Linked DNA regions of Xenopus tropicalis. The main gene of each other region encodes a partner of the protein of the gene in region 4 in a complex. Links are inferred from orthologs where the notes say so. Each region holds a gene or a part of one and is shown on either strand. Other genes may lie near its edges.

Region 1 (7,351 bases), on a different chromosome or scaffold from region 4:
CCCCCCCCCCCCTCCTTTTTCACATTCTGGCAATGACCAGCTGCTAGAAACAATAAAAAGCCATTATTCATACACCAACAGGAAAATTGCGGTGGCAATCATTTTCCTTTTTTTAGATTTGCTATTGGATTTTTCCAACTATGGGGTATATTTATTAAATTGTGAATTTTCTCCTTCACTAACTCCATGGTTCACCTCAATTTGCCAGGTATATTTTCACAGCACATCTGATGTTTACTAAAAAGTATACACATACAGAGAAATGTGATGAATTTTCTCTTGGCATTTATCAGTGTATTTTCCCATACAATTGAAGTGGGCCACATTCTCTATTCTAGCGAATTTACACCATACAGAAATGACATGTGTGGGATATTAACATGGAGGAGGTGGTGCAGATAACTAGATGCAAAAGTGGCTGCTCTATTTTTATAATGGCAGCTCACCAACCTGAACCTTGAGAATTTTTTCTTGCCAAAATTTCATTCTTGTACTGTTGGCAAGCTGGCAAATATTCACTAGAGAAATTTAATTTGCAAACAGAGTAAGGTTGGACATGAATGTTCACCAATATAAAGGGAATGAGAAGAGAAGTGTGAAATTAATTCTCCAAAACTCAAACTTTTTCATTTTTAACAAAAATAGTGATTCAATTTCTTCTCCACCTCATACAAAATCCCATTGTTTCCTGTCAGAAGATTAAGAACTGCTTTGTGGCAATCATTTCGGCAAAGTCGCTGACATGTTATTAAACTGACGAGATTGCATTTTGCTATATTAATAACATCTATTGCAACATCAACATATTGCTAGTTCAACTTCTGTCTGACTTTAATGGAAACTTGTAATACATGAGCATTTAAGCTCTTTACAAACTGGTTCCTCAACTGTGAGTGACACTAGTACTTGCTGTACAATGCTGTACTTGCTAGTACAATGCTGAAACCCTGATTGTCTTGCCACAGACAGAGCATTTTGAAACATTGTAGAAAGCTTGGAGCCCCGATACATGGGAAAAAAATTCAGTGATGGCCCTCTTGCATTTGTTGATCTACAATTGCCAGCAGATGATAAACTTGCAAAAGAGGCTTTGAGGTTTATTTTTAAAAATATTGACACCAACAAAAAGTAAATTTAAATATCAGTTTATTTTGTAAACATCAATTTCACATATATAAGCTCTGTTCCTTCTTGACAAAATATAGGTAAGCTTTTAGATATATATTTATCTTATACATATGCAGTTTACATTTGGCAACCAAGAGGTTCTTCCCATTAAGCTAAAGCCACATTGGCTGTTTTCTCCAGTGACATGGTTCAGCCGGCAGGGAAGAGACCAAAACCAGTCCTGCTACCTCCCACTGAATGTAATGCTAAACCCATGAAAGGTGCTAAGGCTCAGCACCAGTACTGGCAATTCTTGCACTGATAATGCACATTAGTGAGCTATTGGCGAAATTGTTGTGTTTGTCTTTAGCTTTTAATAACTTTCTCTCTGTTGCACTGTGGGCACTGGGTGGATTGTGCTTTCAGGACAATGACCATCTTACAGAGGTACCTATACACCTCTGTCTCCGTTAGGCTTAAAAGTACACACTTTGTCCTTGGAGTCTTATAAAATCATATAGCAATGCTTCCTGTAAGTTTCTTGGGGTTTTCTTCCCATTTGAATAATTTCCGGGTCCAGCGTAAGATGTTGATCAAATGTACCTTTTAGAATTTTTTTGTAATAATGTTCATAACTGTTAATTTACTGCCAGATTCCATTTAGTCTTCACTATTCATTAAAGTACAATCACTGATAAATTGCTATTTAACTGCACAGTAACCAACAACAAACAGTGCACTCTGGATGGAAACAACAATACACAACAGCTCCACATATTAATAAGTAGGCAGCCTCTGGGTTTAAAGTACCAGGTACACAACACAGCCAGAACACTGTATCTCTAGAAGGAAAGGAAAGAATAATGTTCTGTTTGCAATTCAAAATGAAAGTGCAAAGATCTCTCTTCTGTCCAAGAGTATAAAAGTGCATTAATGTGCATGATAGTGAAGGACCTGCAATAATGCACACGTACAATTTTTACATAGGATAAGTACACAGAAGGAAACTTATTCTGTTCAAATTGAACTACCCCACATAGAAATGTTAATACAGGACAAATACCAATAGGCAATGGAGGTTCCGCAACAAGCTGAAATTCGTTAGGTGCACATTAACATTAAAGGGATTGTAAACTGAAATAAAAAAATGTGCAGAAATAAAAGCAAATTTGTAAGTAACATTCAATGGACTATTGAAGCAATGAAACATCTGTGATTCTCCTTCTTTAAAGACAGCAGAGCATTATAGGAAGAGCAGAGCATTATAGGGATTGGAGCCTTCGCTGGAGGACAGCTGACAACTGCAATTTCAATAGCACATGAGTAGAGAGTAGCTCACAGCGGCTCCACAGAGTGAAAATGAACATTTCATTGCCCATTATATAGGCATTTTAGGGGGCTTATTGTTCAACTTGAACTTACTTTCACCCCCTTGGAAAATAGGCCCTTATAATTCTATAGAAGTAAATAGATAGCTATGGAAGTTCATTTTGGCGAACTGTGGGGCCTCTTATATTTACCCTATGATAGATATTCCCCAAGGTGTATACAATACACTTTCTATGGGGAAAGTGTGAATAATTAGAAAAGAAGTAGTAGTATTAACTCTAAGAGATTTGGTGGGATTGTGTGCAGTCATTTTAACACTTAAGTGAAGAGGCAAATGACTTACATGAAATAACATTTCACCTTATGGCTACAATGAGCACAGGCATGACAGTTCATTTTAGTACACAAGACAAAAGCACACAGTGTAATGTTATGGCTACACACAAGGCATTAGCAAGAGGTACACAGCAACGCACAATGCTATTAAGGCCTTAGGCACTGTTAAGCAGAAAACAGGAATGTCAGATGCATGAACGGAATACCTGCTATTTTGCAACATTGGTTTCTAAATTCACAGTAGACCCAGAAACATCATTAAGGAGAAGCAACAGCTCAGGATGATGCTGAGTAATGTTTCAGGTCTAAAATAAAAAACAGACTATGAACACCTTTCTGTTCATTGTACTGCACATCCATGTAGCAATGGAGTGAACACATTACATTCATGTGGTTTATGGAAACCACCCTTCAAGTATCTATATTTTAGAGGAAAGAAGTCTAACAAACATAAATGGGAGACATGAAAACCTGTTTCTACACTCATTGTTCCAAACATCTAGCAGAGGGATGCTGACAATCAGATGTACAGTGTCACTAAAGCCAGACACTTCAAGGCTTTGCACTATAGTACTGTATTTGGCATATTCAAACAATTTGGTTTTTTTCCTTGGGGTTTTCACCTTTCACCTGCTCAGTTACTAGTGACACTGCACTGAAAAACAATTTAGAGCAAACCAAGCACGAACAAAAGTAACAAGCAACAAGTGTCATCATGGTTTCTGCTTGACCAGTAAAGTGTTTGTAGGTAAAAATCCCCTTTAGAAATTGGGTGTTGCCACATACACAGAGAGGTTTAAGTGTGCACCAGGGTTACACATGAGACTCGTCCAGATCAATGTCTGTTTCTCCCAGTTCGATGTGTGAGAAGTTAAAATGTCCTGAAACCAAAGGGTTTTCCATTCCACTATCTTCTGTGATGTGAAGAACTGTATCGCCATATTGGAGAAGGCTGCTGGTCTCCAGCGCATTAAAGTCTTCAGGGTCTGAAAGATGGGAAGATGGGGAACTGTGGAGAAGTTGGGCTGATGCTCCCCTGCTAGACTCTGGGTTCTCTTTCCCTAGGAAGTAGCCCCCTCTCTGGAAGAATAGTGGGAGACCAAATTGAGCAAGATAAAATGAGTATAATTTTAAAAAATTCAAGTTTCATTTACTAGTTCTATAAAACGCTGATTTGACTTTCATGAAATAGTATAGATTTGTTGCTGCATTTACTACACATACAAGTGCAAACATGGTGAAATAAATATATATATATTTAACTTCTGGAAACAGAACAAATGTGAGCAACCATACGGTTTTAGTATATTTTAGTACATTCTCACTATAAACACCAGTGCACCAAGCAATATCCTGGTAATTACCCCTGTGATGTTGCAGCAGATTGCTGTACTCCTTCGCAGTTCTACAGTCACACCTCTGTCTTCCTCCCTTAGTTAACATCCCCCCTCAGGCATCCTCTCTCAGATATCCGCCTTCAGTCATCCTCCCTAATGTATCTTCCCTCAACCTTCAATCATCCTCCCTAATGTATCTTCCCTCAACCTTCAATCATCCTCCCTCATATATCCTGTTAGCATGCAAATTAACAATGGAAATGTAATTAATGCTTTATTTAAAAACCCAAATACTAAGGGGCAGATTTATCAAACTGTAAGTGTAGAATGTAAAAACTCACCTGCTTTCTATTTATTTCTATGTGATTTTTAGAAGTGTATTTATTAATGGGCGATAGTTAAAACTCACCATTTGATGAATACACTTCTTAAAATCCCATAGTAATGAACAGGATGTAGGTGATTTTTAATGTACCATATTAAGGGCTAAACTTACACTTTGATAAATCTGCCCCTAAATGTAATTAGTCCAATGCTCTTATCTGCAAGATAATGGTTTTATTCATGCTTCTTTATATTTAATTGCATATATTCAAAGTTTCAAGATCTGAGCAAAAGTTAAACAGCAAAAAGTTTGAAACACACCTGCATTGAAATCCGTTTTTCAAAAATAAAACCAGATTTTTTAATATTTAATTTTGAAATTTTTCAAGGGCCTAACAATATTCTTCATTTCCCAGGGTGTCACAGCCATGTGACCTGTGCTCTGATAAACTTCAGTCACACTTTACTGCTGAGCTGCAAGTTGGAGTGATATCACCCCCCTCCAGCAATCGATCAGCAGAGAATGGGAAGGGAGCAAGATAGCAGCTCCCAGTAGATATCAGAATATCACTCAGTAGTAAAGGTCCCCATACACGGGCCGACTATAGCTGCCGATATCGGTCCCTTGGACCGATTCGGCAGCTAATCGGCCCGTGTATGGGGAGAGCAGAGCGGCCTGGCCGACCGATATCTGGCCTGAAATTGGCCAGATCTCGATCGGCCAGGTTAGAAAATCCGGTCAGATCGGGGACCGCATCGGCTCGTTGATGCGGCCCCCGATCCAACTGCCCCATTGCCGCCCACATAATTATTTTTTTTTTCACCTAAAAATACACGAGCGGATCTGCTCGTGTATGGCCACCTTAAGAAATCTAAATCTAGTTTGGGACTCCTCCAGTTACATGGGAGTAGGGAAAACAATAGGTTGCCTGAAAGCAGTTCTAATGTGTAGCGTTGGCTCCTTCAGAGAGCTCAGAATCAGGCACAATGCACTGAGATGGCGCCTACACACCAATATAACTAAAAAATTTGTTGGTTCAAGAATAAAATTTATAGTGAATTATTTGTTATGTAACCAGTGTAATTTAGAAATAAAAAGTACACCATAAAAATCATGACAGAATCCCTTTAAAGGGCACGTTCACTTGGTCTGGGTATCTGTGCAGGAGCGAGGCATTATGGGAACTTTCTTTACACAGCTCAGCGTTTTCTCTTCCTGTTTGGCTTCTGATCTTCTGAACAGGTGACTTAAAGGAACAGTAACACCAAAAAATGAAAGAGCTTTAAAGTAATACAAATATAATGCACTGTTGCCCTGCACTGGTAAAACTGGTGTATTTGCTACAGGAACACTACTATAATTTATATAATAAGCTGCTGTGTAGCCATGGGTGCAGCCATTCAAGCTGGAAAAAATGAGAAAAGGCACAGGCACATAGCAGATAACAGATAAGTTCTGTAGAATACAATAGTGTTTTATCTGTTATCTGCTATGTGCCTGTGCCTTTTCTCCTTTGAATGGCTGCCCCCATGGCTACATAGCAGCTTATTTATATAAATTATAGTAGACTTTCTGAAGTAAACACACAACTTTTACCAGTGCAGGGCAGCAGCACATTATATTTTAGTTACTTTTATACACTTTCATTTTTTGGTGTTACTGTTCCTTTAAGGGCACTATTGAGAGAACTGAAGGTATGCCTGCAGCTTGAGATTAACTCTTTACTAGCCTTTCCTTTTCCTTTAAAAGACAACAAACTTGAATAAAATCATTAATTTGCAGATAAGAACATGGGACTTAGCACTGGGGTTGTTTTTAAATAAATGTTTATTTATATTTACATTGTTTAAATCATTTAATTTGCCAAAGTGACAGTTGATAAATAAGCGAAGAGAGAGAATGACTGAGGGAGAAGGGCAGATACAACCTGTGTAATAGCGCATGCATACTTGCATTTATAGTGAGGATGTCCTAAAATGGTTACCGTACAGCCAACACATCAAGCTCATGTTCATAATGAAAAAGAAATACACTGTTCCAGCCATAAAATAAACAAGGCAACTGTTAATAAATAAGGCAACTTTTTCAAAACAGACCCTGAACATCACATCCTAAGAGTGAGGGCACACTTGGTATAGGGTCTGCTTCTCTCTGCCTGCATTTTGTAGGCAGGTGGAGAAAAGCAAATCCACTCCTACTGTATATGTTCTGGGGTGTAGTTGCACTGACAGAAGCAGTGTCAGCCTGAGTACAGCTACACAGGATGGACATGGACCCCAAAATGCATGTTTTTGCAATTTCTGGCCCGATCTCCACTTTGTGTAGCTACATTCAGGCCAACACCATGCCTGTAAGTCAAGCTACACACAAGGGTGTATAGAAGTGATTGCGTTTCTCTTCACCTGTCTACAAAATGCAGAGAGAGATGCAGGTCATACGCCCAGGGTGCCCACCCTAAGGAACATATTCAATAAGACGTTTAGAGTGTAAATGTATGCTGTTGGTTGCTAACTTCTCTCACTCTGATTAGGTTTGCATTATGGATCAGCAACGCAGCTGCCCCACTTTTCCTTTTTTGGTGTGTTTGGTATATGACATAAATAGGCCAATTTACTTAGGAGTAGATGGAACTATGGGCGTTCCCTTTAAGAGCTCCATGCAATAAAGGCTTTTGCCTAGCCCTGTAAGCTATGTTAAATATCTGATGCAGAGTACAGTGCAGTCAGACACAAGGACCCCTATACTGTACTTACAGGGCAGTAAGTGCAGGGCTGGAACTTAAACCAGGAGAAGCAAAGAGGAAGATCCAATGTTTTTGTTACCAGTCAAGTATTGCGCTAGCCCAGAGCCAGCAAAGTTCATAATGAAAAGTATACTCTTTGTGCCAACCATTAGTCAAATACAAGAAAACAGAGAA
Region 2 (8,624 bases), about 2.2 Mb from region 4:
GCCGCTGGCAGGCTACAGGAAGGACAGAGAGATTTCAGTGATGTCACTGTAGTCTTCACACTGCTGTAGGCTGCCAGCACCAAATCTCAGAGAAACAAGCAGGGATCTGGGAATTTAGATATGCAGTAAGTACTTAAAAAGAATGCCTTTAGACTTACTTTTAATTTATATTAACCTTTCATTGTCCTTTAATAGTATTTGGCACAAAGGTGCAATTACGTTCTTTATGGCATAATACTCACATGAGCTTGAACATTTTTGCATGCCTAGCTTGGTGCCCTTTAGTAGCTGATGAGAGACATCATGTTTTACAATTATTAAAATAAATTTTAATAATGATGTCCCTTATTTTTCCCCAATATGTAATAAAAGACACAACTTTTGCCTTGCAAAAAATTCCACACAAATATCTTGCCATGCATAAACTCAATTCCTAAACCCTGTGCAACTCTCACCCAAGACAAACACAGTCCACCAAACGTCAGAAATATATATTTCAAACATTAACTATAACATGACTGTGTGTCCATAAGCTGCTGAATGTCACCCTTAGTGTAATAACATACTTACCATATCTTAACATCACTGCCATAAGCACATCCACTACAATGTCCGAGATTAGGTCTACACTTTCTATTTCCCATGACACACTTACATACTTGTACTCCTTGACAGAACATAGTCCCAGGCTTATCCCTCACACTCTACATACCCCTTAATATTAGGGGATTCTTTCTGATGTCCCATCAGGGCAGCTCTGAATCACCAGCTACTGCAATGGCTAAACTCCAACACCCTTATGGATGGAAGCGAAAGAAACTACTCACTGCCCCACCACCATGGTCCTGAGAAGGTGGTGTACCCACCTTCCCAGGCTCTCAGAAGTAAAACCTCCTGCACCCCTCCCTACAAATTTCCCTCAAAGGGCTTTCTTACTGAAGCACCTCCTGCAGGCCCTATTTGTCCTCCAATTCATACCCCCTCCATCTCCACCTTTCAAGCTTGCTTCCCAGGGGTTCCTTTCTTTTTTATGCAGCAGCATGGTGGAATAGTGAATAGCCTTGCAGCTTTGTAACACATGGGTCGAAAGTTTTTGAACTGAACACTACCTACTTACAGTTCTTATGTGTCACAGTTCCAAAAATAATAAACATTATACAATAATGACTTGTAAATTCCTTAGAACAAGATGGTTCATATTTCTGATATTACTTAAACTATTTTTCAAAATGCCACCAGTGTAATATTGTAATATGTTTATGATTGGAAAAATATTCTATTCAATATTCTCTATTGCTACCAACGACAGGATTAAAACTATTTCATTACTTGTTTTTGCCACATGGTGGTGCTGTATTCATATGATAATGTCTTTTGGAAAGTAAAATAAATAAAAATATCTAGCTGTAGCATATTCCTAAAGACAGTTTGAATATTAAACGACAACATTGGGACAAATTATAAAACAAATTTGATATAACTCATTCTGAAATAGGAACATGTAACTGGGCTAAGAATATAACTTGTTTACATTTATAACATTTTTATAACATTTTATGATTTTGTTGTGTAAACCAAGACTTATACAAAATCTTAGCATGAATGAGTGATTTGGGGACAGAAGGCCCAGTTTTCGCTAGATAACTATACTCTATGGAAGCACTAGACACAATGATATGTTTAGATGTGTAGGAATAAATTAACAACAAATAAATTATGTAGTGAAATTGGAGTATGAATAGTAGGAAAAAGCTAATTTTTCAGTAGATGCAAATTGCAAATAAATTCACGTTTTTCATGAGTGACAAAATTGCTTGCAAATCTGCATGAGTATATATAATATAATATATTCAGCACAAGAAAAAATGGTCATTGACTTTAATGCATTTGCACAAGAAAAAAACTGTATAAAAAAGGCAATTAACTCCGATGCATTTGGTGCAACAAAAACATGTATTAAAGTCTGAAACATAACATTTGAGGAGGGTAAAACAGCATGGCAACATGGTGTGGGAAGGTACTTCAGAGAAGGATAAGATGAAGTGAATGGATGAGTGAATGGATTTAAAAGTTTAAAAACAACTTATTGCAATTCTAGGAAAGGAATGATAGGAAGCTCTGGCCATTGGTTGCATTAAGGTGGCCATACACGGGCCGATGGTAGCTGCCGTTATCGGCTCATTGATGCGGTCCCTGAATCAACTGCCTTTTAATGGCGCTTTAATTTGATCATTAGGCCCCAGGGCCAAACGACCGAATTTGTATAAATTCACCTGATATCTCCCACCCATAGGTGAGGATATCAGGAAAAGATCCGCTCGCTTGGCAACCTCGCCAAGCAAGCGGATATTAACGTGCATGGTCACCTTTAGTCCTGGCATTGGCATGCAGAAGGGTTTTAGTCATTTCTTGAGACTGAAGGAAACTATCTGGGTGATACTTCAGAGGAGAAAGTGGAAAAAGAAAAGAGCAGCACAGGAGAACCTGACCCCCCCAACATTTTTGGCCATCAAAAACAGGTTACTGAGAGGCCAACATAAGAGATAGCAAAATATTAGATGAGTTTTGCAGCTAATAGTAAGTTTAGGGTAAGGTGTACAGTAGCCTTCTTAAAATAAAATAACACAGATGTTAATGAAGAGGGGAAAATCTATTGAAATCTACTGGGGCAAACAAACCATCCATTAGGGCACTTACTACTGCTCATGCGTAAATTAAAAAAACATTTAACGCAGAAAATTTGCATTCCGCTCACCATTTTCAATAAGTCTACAAACTCAAAAAAATCAGAAAAACTCAAAGAACTCAAGCTGAAAAAATCTGTAACATTTTGCTAGGACGACTCCTATTGACTTCTAGATGAACTCGCAAGCTTTTAGACGATGAAGTGTCGCATAGGAGTTTTTCAAGTTTTTTTATGCTTGATAAATATTGAACATCCAAGTTCTGGAAACTCAAAATTAGTGAATTTCAGCACAATAAAAATTTGAATTGCAGTAAAAATTCAAATTACAACATTGAAAAATCCATGATCTCGACAAGTTTTATATGGAATTGTCACAGTTTGTTAATCTTGAAAAAGTCTCAACTTTTTTTCAGCGAGTTTTAGTGCTAAAAGAAAAAAAAATCATACCTTTATTAAATGGCCCCTTCAGTATAGGATTTGGAATAAGGAAAGCAACTGAGAGCTTAATATGGCCTGAGATGGTTTTAATACCCCAGTCTCTGGCACTAACTGATACACCTGTTTTACTGAGTTAATACTAATAAAACATTGACTGTTGAAGAACCAAAGGACAAGTTTGGGTGCCCCTGCTCCAAACTCACCTCCATATTGCCCTGGCTTGTTAGAGCATGTTACAGTTGCCAAAAAGCTACACAAAGAGGCTTTTATATAGGGAGCTAGTACAGCAAGTAAAGCTATGGGATCCATTATCCAGAAAGCTCCAAATTGCAGAAGGGCAATCTCCTATTGACTTCATTTCAATCAAATAATTCAAAGTTTTAAAAATTATTCCCCTTTTCTCTGTAATAATAAAATTGTACCTTGTACTTGATCCCAACTGAGATATCTAAAACCTACTGGAGGCAAACCTCAGGTACTGAGCATTCTGGATAAGAGGTGCCATACCTGTACCGACTTTTTTGGTATAATCACTTTTGCTGTGGGTAAAACCTTGATGTAATCATCCAAGAAACGTTCAAATAAAGAAAATTCAATTGCCATTTTTCTTGCATGTCAGAAGGAAGTTTTATACCCTATGAAGGTGATAATGGACGTAGCATTCATTAATGAACTGTTATTATGGTTAAGCACTTCTATGAAACGGCACACACAGAAGAGGTTTTGTTAATGGCTGAACTTGAATGACTTCTGTCCTTCTCTCAACCTAAATAACTATGTAATTATGTAATAGCATGATCTTTTTAAGAGAGAAAACAGGCAAACTGTCAATTCCACCTCTATAATTAATCTGACACATGTAAAAAACAAAGCAAATGGCTTGTCACATCAAATACTAATTGCAACAGAGAAGAAACTTGAGATTAGTTACTGCAGCAGTCAGGGATCATTCTGGTTCAAATCTCCTTTTACTCAGACCTTCAAGGGAATTAAGCAGGAAAATAAATGTCACTACACCATAGAGATGCAGATCCAATCTTAAAGGGGAAGTTGAAATACCATTTAGTAGGCCGCAGCGACTATTTGCTGTTGTAAGTTACTGTTCAATTTGTTTGTAACTGTTTTGTTGTACAGCTTTCCAGTTTAAAAGAAAACTATACCCCCAGAATGAATATTTAACCAACAGATAGTTTATATTATGTTAAGTGACCTATTAAAGAATCAGTTTACTAAAAACTATACATGCAGCTTACCTGTACATATGAAACTTGATAGGCCTCCATAGACAACATCATCATTATCTGGTAAGATAAAGGGACATCTTTTTTGTACCTCCAAACAGTATTGCTTGCATGGGATTTTGCTACTGCATTCTGACTGGGTGACTTCAAAATACTGAGAGCATAGCCAGGACTTATAGACAGCCTGAAATGAAAAATAGAAAATGATAGGTAGATCAGTTTAACTTTAAAGAATGTATAAACAAAGCATGCACAAGTAACTGGAAAAGGTCTGTATTAGAGGGAAGGCAATACAAGTTCTTGATTAGTTTCAATTCTGTAGATAAGTAAGCCCTATACTCAGTAATGAATATTATTTCCATGCTGTATACTGTATAAAGGCTCATTTACAAATACAAAACTTTGGATAGTGCAAAGTTCAGTTTTAGGATACAGATAACCATGTTTTTTTATCCACAATGTAGAGTTTTAACCCAAATAGTAGCACATTTCAGTTAGTAGCACCCCTTATTGGAACACAAGACCTACCACCACATCAAAACAGGCTGGTTGGGCACTTTGGTGGTCTCTGCAATTATTCCCAACTGAAATGTGAATATATTCATAAGCACAGGTAGTTTTATGAATAGTATTAATTAATCTTTTATCTATTTTAGCACATCCCAGTTGTGGTTGGTTTGGTAAATAAGAGCTTGTATCCTCATCCCAGAGACTGAAATTAAATCTCAACACCAATTGCTTACTGCAGGGATATTTGTTGTGTTACTCTCTATTCGCTGGATTAGTTTCAAAAGAGATTATGGGACATACAACTAAACTCATGTCACAAAAACCACAAATGTTTAGTCATTTATTATAAGATCTGAATTAAAAAAGCAAGAACAAACAAAGACGTGGAAACAACACGAAAACTGTGACTTTTTTATAGTGTCACACAAATGAAATGTCAAAAAAAACCCGAAAACCTCTAAAACCACAAAGCAAAGAAAGATTTTCCAGTTGGAAAAAATGACACCGGCCATTAACTTCTACATAATCTCAACAGGTTTCAGACGGCATATTTTTGCTTTTTGGCTTGGATGAGATCTTGAACAAGCATAGTATCCATGGTTTTTGTGATACTAAAATCTACAGTTAGTATTGATGTTGGTATATATAGCAGCGTTTTTCAACCACTGTTGTTGCCTGGTGTGCCGTAGGCAGGGCACCAATGTACTAGGGGGGCACTGCTCTTGGCACCAATGTACTAGGGGGGCACTGCTGCTGGGCACCAATGTACTAGGGGGGCACTGCTCTTGGCACCAATGTACTAGGGGGGCACTGCTGCTGGGCACCAATGTACTAGGGGGGCACTGCTCTTGGCACCAATGTACTAGGGGGGCACTGCTGCTGGGCACCAATGTACTAGGGGGGCACTGCTGCTGGGCACAGAGTTAAATTTTTTAACATTTTCTAATGGTGGTGTGCCTCGTGATTTTTTTCATGAAACAAGTGTGCTTTTGCCCAAAAAAGGTTGAAAAACACTGATATATAGTTTATGTATGTGAGTGTATAAATAGGTCAGTATAGGTTTGTGTGTGCTGGGTTTACTTGGAAGGGTTGAACTTTGCACTCTGGTATTTTTTCAACCCAATGTAATTATGTAACTATGTGACGGTTTTGTTGCATAATAATTTGCAAGAAAAATTGTGGGGGGTTTTCCCCAACAAAATCATGTTTTGGCTCAAAAAAAAACACCATTAGGAAATGCCTCAGTTAATGTCTCATACATCCCATTTTCAAGAATTATCCTTCTATTTAAATGTTCTCTCTAAGGGGCTGATTTACTTACCCACGAACGGGTCGAATGGAGTCCGATTGCGTTTTTTTCGTAATGATCGGTACTTTGCGATTTTTTCTTATGTTTTGCGATTTTTTCGGATTCTTTACGAATTTTTCGGATCCAATACGATTTTTGCGTAAAAACGCGAGTTTTCCTATCCATTACGAAAGTTGCGTAAAAAGTTGCGCATTTTGCGTAGCGTTAAAACTTACGCGAAAAATGCGCAACTTTTCGCGTAAGATTTAGCGCTACGCAAAATGCGCAACTTTTTACGCAACTTTCGTAATGGATACGAAAAACTTGCGTTTTTACGCAAAAATCGTATTGGTAACGAAAAATTCGTACAGAATCCGAAAAAATCGCAAAACATACGAAAAAGTCGCAAAATGTTCGTTTTCAAGTCGGAACTTTTCCAATTCGGGTCGGATTCGTGGGTTAGTAAATCAGCCCCTAAGACTTAGAAATTCTGGTTTTTATTTCAAAACATTTAAATACCTCAAATAAAAGCTATAATAACTCTTGGAGTGCACATTCTTCCTTATAATTTCACCTCAAGCTATATGATTCAGATATTCTCAGCATCCATAGTGTCTGCTACCTGATTACTCTGATGGGATGGGGGTGTGTGTATATATAGGTCTATAAGAGAAGTTATATCTATTAAGTTCTTTGAGTGCTGACTTTCCTGTACATAATATTGAATGTCATATAAAAAATGCTGTACCCTAAATGTGGAGAGGTCAGAGTTGGTGTAGCCTCATTCTGCTGCTAGTGAAGGGTGTTGCAGTCTGATTGACTGTGGTTGTGGTGGTAGAACCACAACAGACCTTTCCTAAAAACTGACCATGTCACTGCCTCTTTATATTTGCACTAGTGCTGTTATATAATCTGTTTTAGCCTTAGCACAGAATAAGCATCTTCCACAAGCAATATATCCTAAGTAACTGATCAATTTGGAATTTATATTAAAAGTCATTCCAATTTTAAACCAGGGGTTCAGCAATAACAGATTGCAGCAGGAAACAGGAGAATCTACTCAAGGGCATTATGAAAAATATAAATAGAAAGCAAGGGAAAGGAATGCCAAGCCTTTTCCTTGGTAGTACAGGTATCGGATCCCTTATCCGGAAACCCATTATCCAGAAAGTTCCGAATTACGGAAAGGCCATCTCCCATAGACTCCATTATAAGCAAATAATTGTAATTTTATAAATGATTTCCTTTTTCCCTGTAATAATAAAACAGAACCTTGTACTTGATCCCAACTAAGATATAATTAATCCTTATTGGATAGAAAACAAGCCTATTTGGGTTTATTTAATATTTAAATGATTTTTAGCAGACTAAAGTTACCGAGATCCAAATTACGGAAAGATCCCTTATCCGGAAAACCCCAGGTCCCGAGCATTCTGGATAATAGATCCCATACCTGTATTTCTTTGTGTATGAGCACCTAGGCAATTGCATATTATGCCTATGTGTGCTTCTTCATATATATTTGTATACATCAGTAATATATACAAGAATATATAGAATTTACTATTATTATTGCCCTTGAATTACACACAGGCATCAGTTAATTAACATGATGAAACTCTGACAATGTAATTCATGTATATGGATACAAAAACACTAATACTAATTAATTTTACTTGCAGGGAAGTGCAATAGATCTTATTGAATCTTCCCAAAAGTGCTTTTGTCAATTAATTAATTGGAAACTCAATTGATGAATACTGCTCATAAGGAACAAACAAGCATCCATTTTAATCTAAAGAAAGAAGGCCTGTCATATTTGCAAATCTATAATTAGATTTCTTTGCTTTGCACATAAAAATGTTTTATAATATATCTTTATGGCATTCATAATCAAATGACATATTTTTTTTTTTATCCCTTTTAGAAAACAAAATGTCCTCTGTGGTTTTGAAGTTAAGCTTGGCAGCCAGTGAACACGTCTGACCGTTTGCCTCTTATGCCTGAAGGAGACATGTTATCAACATCTGCTGTTTCATGTCAAAAAGAAAAGAACCCTGACCTCCTACCTATGGGCCTCCCATATGTCTGCACATCTACACACCAGGTACTGGAATATAACTGAAGGAATGAAAACATGTTTACTATATAGAGAATCTTGTTTCGGGTTTTATTTTTATTAATTACGCAAATGCAAATTTGCAAATGAATGCATATTTTTTAAAATACCAGTGCATTTCAACCTTGTTTCTCAGAGAATGGTTTAAAATATTTCAATGCTTATCTGTCACTCTACGTCAGAGTAAATGCATTAAAAGCCATGAACTTCAAAGGCTCAATAGGCACAGTTAATTGAAGATTAGGGAGTGTACTGGTTGCAGCCAATATTGACTCTTGTCAAGGGCAATGTACCCTCTATTTTCTTGATGACTGTGTGGGCAAAAGGTATCATTCATGAGCA
Region 3 (8,624 bases), on a different chromosome or scaffold from region 4:
CACCAGGTGGTCTTTCTTAGCAATATACAGGCACTCCCCGTGCAGACAGAGGATCTTGAGACAAGCCAGCATATTAAAGAGAATGTCAGGTTCATCAAACTTTGACATTTCCTAAAATAACAAAATAATAGCTTCATGAGTATCTTCTTCCAGTTTCTTTGAATGACTCTCCTCCTTGGACTCCGCTCTCACACATAGTTTAAAAATGTTTGTAAATATGTGCTACTTACTATGAAATTAAAACATACCAAAGGACTTTCATTTCCATAGAACTGAATGCCAAATGTTTTTATACAGAACCGTGATGTTTCTTCTGCTAACTTTATATCTGTTTGTACTATACATGTGTCACCAATTATATCACTAATTAATGATGTCAGTAAGAATATAGTTTAGAATATTGATTATATATTTAAGAATAGATTTTACGTTATTCCTGGCTCTCGTATATTATTAGGTTATACCCTCAGTGCAATCAATGTAAACTCCATTAAAAGAACTGTACCTGCAAAATGGTGTATATCAGCTTCAGAGTCACAGGAAGCTGCTGATAACAGAACTTTCGATCTGTATCATTCTTGACCGCTGCTGAAACATCAAATACAAATGATGCTGATTATCTCTGTATATCAGTAAATATCCATTGACAGAACTCTTATAGCACCCAGAGCAATGATTCCTTAACTGTGAGAGTGCCTGGGGGGCCCCAGATGGGTTAAATTGAGATTCAGGGGGAATGTCTGTTTACTCTACAAAATATCCCTGGAAGACCAGTTTTAATAAGGCTGTGGTTTCGGTGTGAACAATTTCTTTCCCTAAATGGTTCATAATGACTTTGACTGTGCTCCATGAACCCCAAAAGCATATTACTGAATCTGAAGGATAGAATTATCCTTCAGATTCAGTAATGTGCTTTTGGGGTTCATGGAGCACAGTGCAAGAAACTGGAGTATCTAGACTGTAGCCTCTTATGACATTGGCAAACTCACTTGTGGCTGCAGGCTCTGTTGATTCAGTGTGGTTCCCTGGATTATCACTGTGCTTGTTTTTTGGGTTGTTCTCCTCTTCTCCCTCTGTTGCAATAATAAAATCAGCTCTGGAGAACAGCAAACTCTCTTCCAGGCTGTCAGTGGGCTCCTGAAAATATGTTTTTATGAATAAGTAAATTGGAATATACAGTAACTGCCAAAAATAATCTGTCCCAGAGAAAAGGTTAAAGGTAAAATCATAATAGCACAAAAATACCGGCACAACATGACTTGTTTAAGCGGGATAAACTCTGCTGATTTTTAATAGTAGCAAACCATGTAACGTTTCGGGGGCACGCCCCTTTGTCAGACATCATGTCTGACGTGGTGGAGAGTGCCGACGTCTCTCTAAATACTGTGCACCAGACGGAACAGAATGGAAAGGCCAGGGTGTGCTGGTGAGTGTGGATTGGTAAAGGTAAAATCATACAACACCATCCAGTGGACACATTATCACAACCAACTAAGAGTTGCAGTAACATTTGAATCATGCCTTTCCCAGACACAAGTGTACCTTTATACGCTATGCTAACTTGGCATTAATGACAAAACCTATCATTGGTGTGTATAATGCTCACCTAAATGCATAAATATAAAAAGTATTAGGAATCTATTTATTCTGAAGTTTGAGCAGAGCTTCCTTCTATTTAGATTCTTTATTGGCAGTTCCATCCATTTCTGTGCTAATACAAGGATCATTTGTCACTAGGACTGAAAGTTTGCTGAACCACCAAAATCCAGTGTCTAGTCTGCATGCTAGAAATGCGAGCAATCAATCACATTCATCTTCTTTGGTATAAGGGCATATCCAGGGCTCAGACACAGCTCACACATTAGCAATCCTGCTGAGCTATTCTGTAAACTGGAATATCCCTGCCACCACACAGTGTACCTCGTTTTTCACAATGACAGCACATAGGTAATGGATTTCAAAGAGAAAGAGATATATTGTATGAAAGGAGATATATTTCTAGGGCTTTGTTTGTTCCTGCAGAGAAAATACATTGATCTTTTTGCTTTTCTGGGGATTCCTAAGTGCCTATTTAATCACACTTTTTTTTAGGGCTATCCTATCTTAAATGCCTCACAGGCTTATTAAAAATTCTGTTTCCTGTTTATCTCTTCCCCAGTACCTCTCTGGATGTGAACGGCTCTGTTTTGGGGATTACAAATGATTTTACCAGTGTACATTTAGGGAGGGGTGAAATATGGAGCACTGTACCCGCCCACACATTGTACAGGTATGGGACCTGTTACCCAGAATGCTTGAGACCTGGTGTTTTCCAGATAAGGGATCTTTGCATAATTTGGATCTCCATTTCTTAAGTCTACTAAAAAATCATTTAAATATGAGTTATACCCAATAGGATTGCTTAATAGTTCTCTTTCTCTCTGTTTTACTATTAAACTCTTTTCTGTGGAACAAACATTTAGAATGACCCATAATGCAGCAGGACAAGTTTGAATCCCAAATCAGGCATTGACACTTTTATGACAAAATTTTTTATTTCCACCATCTACTTACAACAAGCCGGATCTCTTCCTTAGGAGCTAGCCGCTCAAGCAGCTCACAGGCCATCTGATAACATAAGATGCTGGATTGACAGAGACTGCATTCAACTGCTTTCTCATCCTTTTGACATGTATGGGAACCACCCCATGGGGCCTGTAATACGTTGTTTATAATGGAAATAATATCCTTTGACAGGCTATTCTCCAAGCCCATAGTGATCCCATCATCCTGTAATTCCATCTAAAAGATAAAAATAACCCAGTCTGTAGTTAAAAATAGTCGCATTTTCCTTAATATAATATTTTCTGACTTCTTGTGTAATACAAATACACTACAGCAGATGCCCCCTAACACCTGGATGAAGATGCCTCAACTTCAACAAAAAGATTTCCATACTCCAGAGATGGAACAGAACAGACAGCAAACCAAGGGCATGGGATCTGGAGTGTCTGTAGTTGCTCTGCGTAACATCCAGTTTTAATATATCTGTATGAAATTGGTCATCTTTCCTTATGTCTAGGAACTGGACACGAAAAGTATTTTGTTGTTGGGCCCAGTGACTGTTATTTATCCAACAATCCTGCTCTTTTAAATTAAATGGTGCAAATTGTGCCCAGATACACAGCTCTACCTGTTTCAGAATGAGGTCAAACATTAGTATGAAGCAGTTCAGATTCATTTCATCATCATCACAGTCAAAGTCAATAGTCCTTCCTCCGGGATGTCCATAGTTCTTAAAGGGGCTGCGAAAAGGACTGCGCATGGGGCTACGAAAAGGACTGTGAAATGGGCTAGGAAAGGGGCTGAGCATGCTGTGTTGAACTCGGCGTCCAGGGTCAGAAGCAATACTGCCCTGCAGGAAAGACAGGGGAGAAAGCAGCTGCTTAAAGAAGACAAGGACAAAAGATCAATTTTCTGATTAGAGCAATAAGTCATTTCAAGTCATTTGCAGTAGTAGAAATGTAAGTATTTGTTCTCTAAATTCATTGTTGAAGGTTTCATTCCTTAGCTTTGTGTTTCATGCAGCAACAGTGTCCAGTGCTAAAGAGAAAAGAATATGTACTCTTTGTATAACCATAGTTACAACAATAGTTTTGATTTCAGAAGCAAACAAAAAAATAAATGATTCTGAACAGGATCCAGTCGGCTTAACAAAGAGCTTGGCTTGATATTTTCACAGTACAAAAGCAAACAGCACCACCTAGAGACCTTTCTAACATATTGCCATAAAGTGGGGATTGTGCATTTTTACAGATATAGGTCCTGTTATCTGGATATGGGATTATTCTGTAATTTGAATTACCATGTTTTAAGACAGCTAAAACTCATTTAAAGGTTAAATAAACCCAATATGATTCATGTAGCTTAGTTAGGTTCAAGTACAAGGTACTGTTTTATTATACCAAAAATCTGGAATTATTTGCTGAAAATTTACTCTATAGGAGATGGTCTTCCCTTAATTCAGAGGTTTCTGAATAACTGGTTTCTGTATAAGGGATCCCATACCTGAATATGTGCAAAACTTCATCTCTAAAAAATATTTGGGGCACGAGGGCCCTTAAAAATGTTAACATGGTTAACAGTATCTACTATTTTTGCCAGTAGTTAATATGACGGTAATTCCATTTTCTACTTGCAGATTGTGTGGTTTGTTCTTAAGCCTTATATGCATGGCAGCAGGAGCCACAAGAAGTCTATGGGGGGCACTATGTATGGGGGGAATTTTCTATTGGAGGTACTCTCTATGGGGGCAATTGGGGGGCTACTGTGTATGGGGGGCACTGTATGGGGGGGCACTGTGTAAGGAGGGCTACTGTGTATGGGGAGCACTGTGTATGGGGGGCACTGTGTATGGGGAGGCACTGTGTAAGGAGGGCTACTGTGTATGGGGGGCTCTGTGTATGGGGGCTCTGTGTATGGGGGGGTACTGTGTATGGGGGGCACTGTATGGGGGGGCACTGTGTAAGGAGGGCTACTGTGTATGGGGGGCACTGTGTATGGGGGGTACTGTGTATGGGGGAACTGTGTATGGGGGGTACTGTGTATGGGGGACACTGTATGGGGGGCACTGTGTAAGGAGGGATACTGTGTATGGGGGGTAATGTGTATGGTGGGCACTGTGTATGGTGGGCACTGTGTATGGGGGGTACTGTGTATGGGGGTACTGTGTATGGGGGAACTGTGTATGGGGGCACTTTCTATGGGGACATTGTGTATGGAGGGTACTTTCTATGGGGGCACTGTGTATGGGGGCTACTGTCTGTGGGGCAATTGAGGGCATGGTCTATGGGGTCAATTGGGGGCACTGTCTATGGGGGTACTGTCTATGGGGGCAAATGGGGCACTGTGTATGGGGGCACTGTCTATGGGGGTGCTGTCTATTGGGCCATCGGGGGCACTATTTTAAAAATTAATTTTAAAAATGGGGTGTGGTAATTGGGGCGTGGCCACAAAGTGGGCATGGTCAAAAATTGTTTTTGTCCCTCTTTTCATTTTTCAAATGTTGGGAGGTATGTAACTGTGATAAATGCCCCACTACTACAAAAAGTGTGTGCTTCTGGTAGTTCCCAAAAACTCTTTAGATAAAAAAGTAAGCAGTTCTATAAAGAACAGCACTTCTACTATTTGCTTAAAAAAATTTCATAAATATTTCTTTACTACTCTTACTTCCCATATGTAACACAAGATAGTTTGTGCAGTAACCCATAGCAACAGGAGACTAGTAAATACTACCTGCTAGAGGTGATTAGACAACTTTGCACCTTTTACTACATAAAAGTGCTGTCCAACTTCTGTGGTACCGAGGGCCAGAATTTTTCTAGCCTATATGGTGGAGGGCTGCTAATGGAAGCCAGTTTTGACCACTCCCCTTTTTTTAAACCACACCTACTTCAAACAACACCCATGTTATCACAAAAGCTTTCAAGACCATACCCACATTTATGATGGAAGCGCAGCAAAAACCCAAATGGTTAGTGCTCACTGCAGGGACATCACCCTTTATTCATATGTGAAAGAATAATATTATATCATATTAAGACACACCCTTAAATCCATTTGCCTCCTCCTTCCCTGTGGATAGCACAGCAACCATTTAATGACTATTTCCAACTGCTAACAAACTCCTAGAACAAACCCCTGCCAGGTCCCACAGGCAGCATAGGGCAAGCAGAGTATGGCACACACAGGTAGCATAGGGCAGGCAGAGTATGGCACACACAGGCAGCATAGGACAGGCAGAGTATGGCATAAACCACCTAACAGTTATTACAGAAGATGGGCAATGATGATACACAATTAAAGCTTTGCTTACCCGGTGGCCTGCAATGTTTCCAGCCAGATCATTGACGCGAACCTTCCGTTGATTGGCTAGTTCTTTAACTGAATTGACTCCATCAGAAAACATGCTTATGAGCAGCTGAAGAGGAACCACTATGTCTAACTCAGACAGCACCTATAAAAAGTATAAAGGAAACCTATTGCATCATATCTGTTATATTATAAGAGCGTACATTATAAACCAATTTGAGTCTATGCATTTGTACTTTTTAGTTTCTAAACAATTGAAATGCTTTTATAGGAATTAAAACTGAGGTATCCAAAACAAAACCAATTTATCATAAATATAACTCATTAATATATTCTGTACACAAAAATTGTAAGGCTTAGCTACAACTAACAAACCCAGATCAATAGGAACTAAAGAACAACAGGTATCTGAAAGATTTTCAGACCTTCAATCTATTCCACATAGATGTTCCCTGTATACTTTAGGCTGTCAGGGGTTATATAATTCCTTGTGGATTTTTCATTGTCTGTCCATTAGGAATTACTTTACACCTTAGTGTACCTTTATAATGGCTCATTTATTCTACAACAGTCATGGTCTTCCGTGTACAGGGTTTTGTACTTACATGAAGCCACAGCAATGCCTGCTCTTGAACAGAGGATGGATACCCAGTAAAGCGACAGCTAATGAATCCAAACATCTCCTCCATGGAAAATGGCAGTGGGCAAAGCTCAATATCAAACATTTTGCTGCAAAATCAAACAGATGACAATATAATCTCTACTTGCAAAACAATGGCATAAACAGATATTGAACAAAATGGAATTGTCATTTCACAACTGTGTAAATCCTCCAGTAGGCATAGGCAGAATTTTTTACAGCAAAATTCTTGTTTGTGTTACCTTATTTATATTAGTTTGAAATCACTAAGCAATCTGTTTTTAAAAAGTCATGTTAACCCTATGGTCAGTGCTTGATGGTGCAAATTGCATCATATTTCTAAGCTGTTCTATCAACAACACAAACTTTCTTGGTGATTGCAAACTTTTGAACAGCAGTGTTTCTTGTTTAACAAAGGTCTTTACAACAAATTGAATGTGTCTGATGAACTTAAGGCCACTTCTCTTCTAAATAAACATGGATGCTCGTTATAGGTCATTTAAAAACACATCTAGTCTTGGTGGTATGTTTTGTAATTTAGCAATGTCCAATATGGTTATTCTATCAGCTGTTTAATGAAACAGAAAAAAACTTCCAGCATAATCATCCACTTTGCTGACAGAGAAGTTTTGGATCAATGTTGCAGCTGTGGAGGTCCACTGGAAGTAGTAAAAGCATATGTTCTATTTAGAGATGCATTGAACCCTTTGATTTGATATTCAGCCAAATCCTCCTCAAGGGATTCGGCCGAATACTGAACTCAATCTAAACACAGTAGGAAATTGCCAGCATGGAGAAGGAAAAGGCCAGTGCTGCAATTTTTTTCTTTATATAGGGTTCAGACTTGCTTTGGCCAGGATCTTGGATTTGGCCGAATCCTGAATCGAATCCAGGATTCAATGCATCCCTAGTTCTTTTACCCTGTAAAGATAAAACTAGAACTCCACCTTAATCATTCTTACAATATTGATAATAATAAGACTGTAATATTATCAACCCTTCTGCAGGTAAAGTAAAGATTTGCACTAACCTTAGAACCTCACGGAACTCTTTGAGCTGGGTGTCTGGAACTTCTGTTCGAATGGCTTCCAGCCATTCAGGCATAATGCATTCCCACACTTGCTGGTTTATTACATTATAAGGGATAAGGCAAAGTATTCTATTTAGACCTTCTTTTAGCTGTGTCACTGTACTGCATGATTTGTCCCAATACCCACCAACCTAAGGAAACAGTAACAAATTAGACTTAGAACATCATTACCAAACCCAACCCATAAAGTATCTGCAAAAATGCATATATAAAGAGAGGAAGTTTTTTCCCTTGCTTAGAAAAAGACTTTTTCTAAGAATTTAGAAATCTAAAACTGATAACGGTCAATACTTATTACGTGGAATAAGGTCTAAGGGGTCGTTTACCAACCTGTGCAAAAGTGTAGCTGCTCTAGAATGGATGCATTGCTGCCTGCTTGCTATTGGCTTGCAGTGGGTGGCAAAACCACCATGCAGAAGACCTGTATAATGGTTGTATGGTAGTTATGACACTGAAAGGGGTATTTCACCCTTACATTATTTTTTACTAAATTGTAGACTGTGATATACTAAGACCATTTGCAGTTGGTTTACATTTTTACATGTAAAAATGGTTTACATTGGAATTTCAGCAGCGATGTGGTATATCCTGGCCACCAGAAATTGGTTTGATTGAGATACTGGAATATAAATAGGAGAGGGCCTGAATAGAAAGATAAATAATTAAATGTAATAATAAAATTGTAGCTTGGGAAGTGGGAAGGTGGCAAATAATTAAAAAACCATGAAATTAATAAATGAAGACTAGTGGAAAAGTTGCTAGGAATAGGACATTCTATAACATACTAAAAGTTAACTCAAAGGTGAACTAGGTTCTTGTGTCCAAACAAGCTCCTGAACATGGCTGCCAATGCATCCATCCTAATGCACCCAGCCCCACAAGAATATCTACTGTCATCTAAATATGGAACTAACTCACACAGTATTAATACACCACAAAATATAAATAGAAATATCAGCAGAGGCCTGCATCCAAATTTACCTTGCAAGGCAAAAATACTTATTTCTTTCAAATTTGCCAAAACACAATAATCTGCACCAGTTA
Region 4 (7,631 bases):
GGGCTTTGTAAGGATGCCTCTGAACCAGCAGCAGGCTATAACCCCAAACACATAATAGAAACATTACTTTTTAATACATTTTGACGATGGTCACTCCTCTGTTTAAGTCATTAAAAGCATAATAACTTTAATATGAATACAATTTTACATAGATTACAATACTGAAATCCGTTTTGGCTGAAATATTGTATTACCCAGTGATTTATATATTAGCTGAATACAGAAGGTATTTATATTCCTAATGTTTTATCTCACAGTATTCCCAAGAGAGACATTCCTGCATATAAACCATTCATTTATAAACACATTTACAATTCTCCCTGTGTAAGTTGCAGATCTTTTATAATGCTGCATAACTCTATGATATCACACTGCAACACATTTTTTTAAAAATATTTGGCTTTTGCAATATTTCATATTTTTTAGATACATCAACAATTTAATACGAAAAATACAAAAGTTGGTTGTGTGTAAGTTGAAATGTAAATAATAGAAAATAATACCAACATGAAAAGCGCTCTGCAATCATCCACTACTTTTGTCTGAATTAGGCTTAGTAATAGCCTCACATATCAAGAAGGTCATCACCACTCTCATCACTTTCTACTGTCAGTTGTCTTGTCCACCATTTCTTGACTTCAGAACCACAGGAGGCAGCATCAGACATGGCGTTCATCTTGCACACTACAGACTTCATTGTTGACCGTCCTCCAAATCGTAGGTTCACAGAGGACACAGAATGGCTTATTGGTTTTGGTGCTGAATTGCAGAAAATATAGGGTTGTATTAGTATGTACACAGAGCATCTTTACAATGGAAAATATAGGCTTAAAGGAGTAAAGGCGAAAATTAAAAGTCTGTTTGCAGGTTCTCTTTGTAAAAATGGTAGAGAGTTTGTAATGAATGTATATTGAGAACAGCTTTATTTTATAATGGAGAACCTTTTAATTTTTCACCTTACAACCCTTTTATATAAATCATAAACCAACATGGTCTGAAATAAATGGGTGTAGAGCCGAATGTCACCTGAAGGCCCCAGTAAATCATCCATTAGATTTGCAATTCCTGTGGTGTGACACTGTGACTTGCAACCCCCCCTAACTGTATTGTCCCTTGGCACAAAAGTTTTGCTGAAGAATTTAAATGTTTTAAGCCAATATGTTTTTCTATTTGGTCAATTCTAACTGTGAATAGTCGCTACCAGGTAGTTTCTAAACGTGATATAGTACTTGTATCTCTGGAAATATACTTCATTGTTTTTTCAGGGCAAGCAACATGGACTATAGGAACTTTATACTGACAGAAATAAGTATACATAAAACAACTAATAAAACATATATTACAATCAACTGCCCAAATAAAGTAGAATAAGTATTTAAAGAGAGACCTCTGGATAAAGGTTCCTTGTAAAAAGACATGCCATATATATGTTATGCATATATATATGTGTACCCCAGGAATTAAAGCACACATATCTGGGTATCAAGGCTGCTCTTCCAAATTATAACCATACAGAGCTAGTCACATGCAGTATTTGTTGGCATCTAGCCTTATTTGATTTATTTCTGTCCCTATAGTCCATATAAGATTTATTGCACAGTAGTGCCCTTCTTTGAAGAAGCTGAGTTAAGGACAGCTGCCTTCATTGGAAGAGCCTTGCGCTGACTATATTCTTCTGCTTAGATCCATATTAGGGCCTAACCCAGAGATCCAATAAAGCTGTAGTTTTACTCATGCATTTTTTTTGCTAACTTTAGCTTCATAAAATCTACCAGGATGGATAGTAGTACAATAAAAGCAGCACTACCTGCACACTTACCTGCTGGTAATCGCCACTGCCCAAACTTTCTCTGAGGTTTACCAGCTTCAATTGAATCCTGACGATAACCTCCTCTGTCAGAAAGCGTTGGGCTAAGAAGCTGTTGTTGGCTACTTGTCTGCGAGACAAAAGCAGACACACATAGTTTATATTGCCAAAGCTGATTACTTCTGCTTCCTTCTTTCTTAAGTTCTCAGATGATTGTTTTCACAAACCCATGACCTGTTAATGCCACCTGCTGATTGGTTGCTGTGGGTTAGTAGAACAGCAGCATACTTTGCTCTTTTTATTACATTACCCCATTTGACTGCTTAAATGCTTACTTATGCAATCCACATATAATGGCATTTGCTTTCTAATGTTTCATAGAGGCTAACAATGGTTTGAGTCAGAATTAAATCCATAAAAATGGTTTAGTAATTGCAGATTTCTTGGCATATATGTGTTATTGAATCCACGCTATGTAAGATGTTTCTCAAGGTTTACTAAAGCCTAGTAAATCTAGCCATGCCAATTTCTTTCGCCACCATAGGGTGATAACTATGTTATGTCAACTTAAAAATAAACTGAAAATAATTTATAACCTTAATTGGCCATATGGAAATGCGCTAATAAACTGATAATTGGCAATAGTTACTTACTAATACAGTGTATTGATTGTTCTTATATTTCTGTTGTCTTTTTTGTTGTCTTGCAAGATTTATAGCTGATTTGAAGAAAAGGGATGTATTGCCTCCATGTTACCACTAGCGCCTACCATAGGCAGATCATTTTCCATTCTTCCCATACTTTTCAGTTGGGGAGGAACTGATAGGCTATTAAAGGCATTTTGACCAACACAGTTATGCCGCCTTGAATCATATGGCAGGTAAAATACCACATGTACCAATGGCCTTTATTCCAATGTTTCATTATTCCTTTTGGAGTAATATTTCTATTCTTTACAGTATCAGATGCCAGATGATCAGTTTCAAGTTATTGCCAATGCTAATGCTGAATTGTTTCCCCAAAGTGTATATGGAAGTTGTTTCTTATGCCACATACCTCTGGCTGTGCATTGTCTTGGTTGCTTAGGTTCATATCTTCACTTGGCTGTGTGGTCTCAATGCTAGGAGGGTTCAGAAACCTGCTCAGTTCCTGCTGTTGGCTCTCTCTCAAACTGTGTATAATACTGCATGATTGCTGTTGTTTCTATGAAATAAATATAGTTGAAACAACCTTTTTTTCAGTTCATTTATAGAAGAAAACAACACATCACAACACATCTGTGAATAATGGACCCATAGACAGAATACAATTCAAATTTAGGTGCCATTTACAATATTCTCATTCATTAGTGACTGAGGAAATAGTATTTATGTGTAAGCTATCTAGACAAATATTTAACATTACATGTCAGAATTGGTAAAACCTCTTTTTTCCTAACACAGGCCAATCTTTGAATGCTTAATTGTATTATGGTTTCTCTGTGGGTAGCACTTCTGTCTAGCATCCCTGTAAGCCTGAACTGAGTTTCAGCCTGGGCACTGTCTGCAAAGAGATTGCATGTTCTCTCTGTGAGTTTCCCCTGAGTACTCCCATTTCCTCTCACACCCCAAAAACATACAGGCAGGTTATTTGGTTCATCATAAAACTGTGTTTGAATGCAATAGGTGCTTAGATTGTAAGATCCACTGCAATAGGGACTGATGTGAACAATAATCTCTGTAAAGTGTAAATGTGTTGGGAGTTATATAAATGAACGATAATAATGATCTGTTAAATCTGAAAACAGTGAGGCTGAGATTGAGGACATGAACCCAAGATACCAATGTGGGTGGCCCATTCATACAATAAAAAAAATACATTATTCATTTGAAAAACATATGCAGGATTTCAATATTAGTTTGGAATGAATATTACACTGTTTCATAAAAGGGGATCTAAAGACAGAGCAGCATTAGTCTATACTAAGGGAAGGTTGCAAGGCATTGCCATTACTTTTTTCCATCAGGCATAGATTTGCAGCAATGAAATAAAACACCCATTGACTTTAATGTATTTGCAGTGAGAAGTAAAAATTGCATGTGTAAGAAAAAATTGTCACATGTAAGAAAAATTTGTTGCCCATTGACTTCAATACATTTTTCAAAATTTTCTCGTAAAAAAATGCGATGCCTATCACACTGTGGGAGTGAGAAAAAATGCCCACTGACATTAATGCACATGAGAAATGCACGTGCATAAGAAAAAATTGTTGTACGTAAGAAAAAATTCTCTCCCACTGACAATGCATTTCGCAAATTTTCCGGCAAAATGGGACAGATTTATTGCTAGTAGGAGTGTATAACCTTCAGCTGTTCTTATACTACAACTACCATAACTCTCTAAAAGCTGTTAGCTGTAGCAAAAGGAAGTCCACACAAAAATTAAAAAATTACAACAAAATTCCATAGAGATAATGCCATAGTTAAAGGAATGAATGAATTAACCAACAGATAGTTTATATTATGTTAAGTGGCCTATTAAATAATCTTGCCAAACAGGAATATATATCAGTAAATATTGCCTTTTTACTTTTTTTCCTTGATCCACCATTTAGTGATGGACTGTGTGCTCCCCCAGAGATCACATGGCCAGAAATAATGCTGCTCTAACTGTAACAGGAAAAAGTGGGGAAGCAAAAGGCAAGACTCTGTCCATTAATTGGCTGATGGGGCCTAGCACGTATGTGTGCCTTGGCTTGTTTGTGTGCACTGTGAATCCTATGATCCCAGGAGGCGGCCCTTAATTTTTAAAATGGCAATTTTCTATTTAGGATTACCCAATAGCACATACTACGTACTAAAAAAGTATATTTTTTATGAACATGGTTTATTTAGATGAAGCAGGATTTTACATACGGGTATGTTTATGCAACATATTTTTATAGAGACCTACATTGTTTGGGGCTATAGTTTTCCTTTAAGGCAGCAAGGTCAGTGTTGGCCACTGCTGCTCCAGAGATACTCAAATCACATGCTTATTTATAACAACATTTAACTTACTGCTCGAATGCGTTTCAAACACTTTTTCAACCACATTCGTATTGTTTGTTTAGCTACTTCTTCTTCTATTGTGTATTCTAGCTGTTCTCTGGCTAGCAACTCCTCCAGCTGAAGGCTCTTTCTGATATCCACTGATCTGTAGGAAAGCATGCTGCAGGAAACAAACGTGATATGCAGTGAGGCATCATGCAACAAAGCATTACATGGTATATTTAGTAAGTTTAGTAGGTAAAAAAAACAAATGAAAATGAAAAACTCAATTCACTGAGCCCAGTGGCATCATCTTTCCTATGTGCCCTGGTTTGTATATTACATAAGGGGTAAACTGGCCTGGGGCAAACAATTTGCAGCAATGGTTATTAGGGGGTGTCAACAAATTGGTAATTCATTTTACTATCCTTGTCCTATGGGTTAACTATTTAAGGTATGGTAATTTACCTGTTTACTTTTCAGTATCAGTGCTGCTATAAGGAGAGGAGTGTAACCCCTACATTCTAAGCTGGTTATGTTAAAAATTAGATCTATAAGTGACATTGACAATGAAAGATAGACATGGTCAGACTGAGGGGTGCAGGGCCCACCAGGGCTCCCACCCCAGGGGCCCTGCAGGTGCCCCGGCCAGCCGTGTCCCCTACCCCCCCCCAGGGGCCCCCCACCCGACATCCTCCCTGAGCGCGTATAAATTGAACATGTCAGGGAAGGAATAGTCAGTAGGGGGAGCACCGGCAAAGGTCGGACTGAGCCGCCGGGGCCCACCGGGATTTTTCCCGGTGTCCCGGCGGCCCAGTCCGACCCTGAAGATAGGCATTTTCATTAGTGAAGAAAATGTCAAAATGTGTTTTTAATTAAAGGAAATCTGCTCATTTCCATTCTACAAAAAAACCCTAATATTCATGATAAGGAAAATAACAACAAGCAAATAGTAACATTACAATAATAACATTAGAATCATTAGTATCTATAATATAACAGTGGATACAGAATTGCAAAGACAGCCTGAAATGTTGTCAGATGAATAGGAAGTGCCTTGATGTCTAACCTTTCGAAACTTCTTTTTAAACCAGAGAAGTTTACATTTATGTCTTAAAGATATATAATGTGTTTAAACATCCAGTCGGCTGTAAGAAATTCTTATTAGAACAGTTTAATGTACTTTTACATTTTCATACTGGTGAACAATTAAAGGGGAAGTAAATTCAAAATCACTGTGGCGGTTTCAATTTCTTAAGCATAATTATTATTACTATCCTCAGACCCCAGGCCAAATGGAATAGAATCTGAATTTAGCTTTGGAAAGCAGAAGTTTTGCTATAATGTGCATGTGTGCCTGCCCAAGTTAGATATTATAACCCCAAGTTATTATGCCTTTTCTTTGCCTTTAAGCCTTTACCTGCCAGAATACACCTCTATTGCAGTTTGTCTTTTTAACATCTTATTTCCAATTCATTTTTTCATTTCATTTGAATGAAATGTGGGAACATAGACTCCGCACTGCTGCCACTCTGCCATAACTTTTTTGCCAGCAACGTCGGTTCTACATGTCAGTGAACGGGTTAAACCGTTGTGCTTGTATGAAGGTACCTCAAGGGGCAATTTACACAGAGGTATCTTAACGGTCACATAAAATAAGAATATAAGACTATATAAATTGTGCGCAATATATAGAAATATATAACATCACGAAAAGCAACATCTCCCCTACTGTGAACGGTTTCCATTTCATAGCACATATGTTTATATACTGCTTGTCCTTGTCCAAGTCTAGCTCCCCATGTAGCTTTCAGAGATGAGTGTACAAATTGTATATATTGTCTCACCTAAGTACATCATGGAAAGTGACATCTCCCCCGCTGTGCAGTCTCTCCATTTCATAGCACATGTGTTTGAACAAAAGCTTGTCCTTATCTAAGTCAACCTCCAGCCTCCCGCGTAGCAGTCTCAGAAGGAACTTCACACGAAAAGCTGGAATAACCCCCTATACGATATTTATAGTCACAAATCATTCAAAGCCACAGTACAATACAGTTTACCTAATGCAATACAGATTTATATCATTCACAATATGGCTTAAATTAATCTTTAACAGTACATGGATGACAATGGTTTGACCCAGGATTGTTTTCTCTGAATGCACTTAAATATATTTTGCCTGATGCTCAGAATAAAATATGTTACCTCTCTTTTATCATCAACCATATTCCATATTATTTGGTAATGGCGCAGATCATTAGGGCTTAGGAGCTGGTCTTCTTCAGTAGAGTAGAAGAGGGAAAAGTTTTCCACAATTATGGCTGAAATCAAAGCAAACGTGTATTAGACAGAAGATCTCACAACCTACTATGCTATTTTGAGTCTAAATAAGGACTGGGTGCCAACACTCTAAGAGCACTGGCTGTATGACTATCATTCATAGTGCTCTGCTTTAAATCGGTGAAGATATTGCCTACAACTTCCTACAACTACAAACTGCCATATTTATCCATATAGTAGATGGATAACTGCAGACTGGGTGTAAAAGCTATAGTTGTGTCACTTGTAGAACTGTTTGAAACATTTTAAATGACCCCTTCCTGATTAAGTGAAGCATTTAGCTATCATCAATTTTTTTCACATAACAAACAAATGCCCGTGTTTTTGACTTACATTTTCAACCCTACTTACCAACCAGTAGATTTAACATGATGTAAGCAATGATGACATAAAATGAACAGAAGTACATAAGTGCCCCTGCATAATTTCCACAATCTGTTTCCCAATATTTGCTGTTATCTGGAGTGCAAAAAGGA

The links.
Region 1: the proteins of nalcn (region 4) and unc80 are in contact, whole or in part, in a cryo-EM structure (PDB 7SX3), measured with the Homo sapiens proteins. The link is inferred for Xenopus tropicalis from reciprocal best matches to the Homo sapiens genes NALCN and UNC80. Residues at the interface, in NP_001337678.1 of Homo sapiens: Asn639, Met643, Val644, Ile646, Lys648, Leu649, Pro650, Phe653, Val655, Pro656, Lys657, Ile658, Arg659, Glu660, Phe662, Met663, Lys664, Gln665, Phe666, Ile667, Arg669, Val711, Ser713, Arg715, Ala716, Arg717, Leu719, Lys722, Glu723, Ala725; in NP_115893.1 of Homo sapiens: Lys1979, Asn2004, Glu2005, Cys2006, Asp2007, Leu2128, Arg2129, Leu2130, Pro2131, Pro2134, Arg2135, Ile2138, Asp2139, Phe2142, Phe2145, Ser2146, Glu2179, Asp2184, Glu2185, Met2187, Leu2188, Asn2191, Asn2194, Ile2198, Leu2199, Glu2202, Ser2226, Leu2227, Ser2228, Gln2231.
Region 2: the proteins of nalcn (region 4) and fam155a are in contact, whole or in part, in a cryo-EM structure (PDB 7CM3), measured with the Homo sapiens proteins. The link is inferred for Xenopus tropicalis from reciprocal best matches to the Homo sapiens genes NALCN and NALF1. Residues at the interface, in NP_001337678.1 of Homo sapiens: Cys207, Val209, Asn220, Leu222, Ala223, Ile224, Pro225, Thr227, Tyr237, Pro240, Phe243, Tyr406, Glu409, Phe909, Ala1044, Lys1045, Asn1047, Pro1049, Arg1054, Ile1060, Arg1062, Ile1063, Asn1064, Val1065, Ser1066, Lys1069, Lys1080, Lys1081, Gly1083, Phe1084; in NP_001073865.1 of Homo sapiens: Lys278, Glu281, Phe282, Val285, His287, Lys288, Tyr289, Leu290, Gln291, Glu294, Tyr295, Ser296, Val297, Lys298, Ser299, Tyr308, Trp311, Leu312, Gln315, Leu335, Gln338, Thr339, Cys341, Phe343, Ile344, Leu345, Pro346, Asp347, Asn348, Asp349.
Region 3: the proteins of nalcn (region 4) and unc79 are in contact, whole or in part, in a cryo-EM structure (PDB 7SX3), measured with the Homo sapiens proteins. The link is inferred for Xenopus tropicalis from reciprocal best matches to the Homo sapiens genes NALCN and UNC79. Residues at the interface, in NP_001337678.1 of Homo sapiens: Gln349, Met350, Phe351, His352, Glu353, Gly358, Trp359, Gln360, Leu361, Phe712, Ser713, Ile714, Arg717; in NP_001333147.1 of Homo sapiens: Cys861, Gln862, Ile865, Glu968, Pro969, Asp970, Phe1020, Gln1022, Pro2088, Asp2089, Ala2092, Pro2093, Leu2095, Leu2096, Met2099, Leu2139, Pro2141, Asn2142, Gly2143, Ile2144, Gln2147, Leu2148, Ser2151.

What each region holds. Positions count from the first base shown.
Region 1 is NC_030685.2:56,161,967-56,169,317, reverse strand, and holds the end of unc80 (protein unc-80 homolog), read right to left. Parts: intron 3,853-7,351; coding exon 3,586-3,852; 3' UTR 1,130-3,585; downstream 1-1,129. UniProt on the Homo sapiens protein: Auxiliary subunit of the NALCN sodium channel complex, a voltage-gated ion channel responsible for the resting Na(+) permeability that controls neuronal excitability.
Region 2 is NC_030678.2:118,173,853-118,182,476, reverse strand, and holds part of fam155a (transmembrane protein FAM155A), read right to left. Parts: intron 4,550-8,624; coding exon 4,378-4,549; intron 1-4,377. UniProt on the Homo sapiens protein: Auxillary component of the NALCN sodium channel complex, a channel that regulates the resting membrane potential and controls neuronal excitability.
Region 3 is NC_030684.2:87,915,834-87,924,457, reverse strand, and holds part of unc79 (protein unc-79 homolog), read right to left. Parts: intron 7,712-8,624; coding exon 7,521-7,711; intron 6,580-7,520; coding exon 6,456-6,579; intron 5,996-6,455; coding exon 5,855-5,995; intron 3,395-5,854; coding exon 3,173-3,394; intron 2,782-3,172; coding exon 2,554-2,781; intron 1,138-2,553; coding exon 990-1,137; intron 589-989; coding exon 506-588; intron 112-505; coding exon 1-111. UniProt on the Homo sapiens protein: Auxiliary subunit of the NALCN sodium channel complex, a voltage-gated ion channel responsible for the resting Na(+) permeability that controls neuronal excitability.
Region 4 is NC_030678.2:120,372,377-120,380,007, reverse strand, and holds the end of nalcn (sodium leak channel non-selective protein), read right to left. Parts: coding exon 7,507-7,631; intron 7,137-7,506; coding exon 7,021-7,136; intron 6,821-7,020; coding exon 6,663-6,820; intron 4,997-6,662; coding exon 4,846-4,996; intron 3,011-4,845; coding exon 2,864-3,010; intron 1,938-2,863; coding exon 1,820-1,937; intron 760-1,819; coding exon 566-759; 3' UTR 102-565; downstream 1-101. UniProt on the Homo sapiens protein: Voltage-gated ion channel responsible for the resting Na(+) permeability that controls neuronal excitability. NALCN channel functions as a multi-protein complex, which consists at least of NALCN, NALF1, UNC79 and UNC80.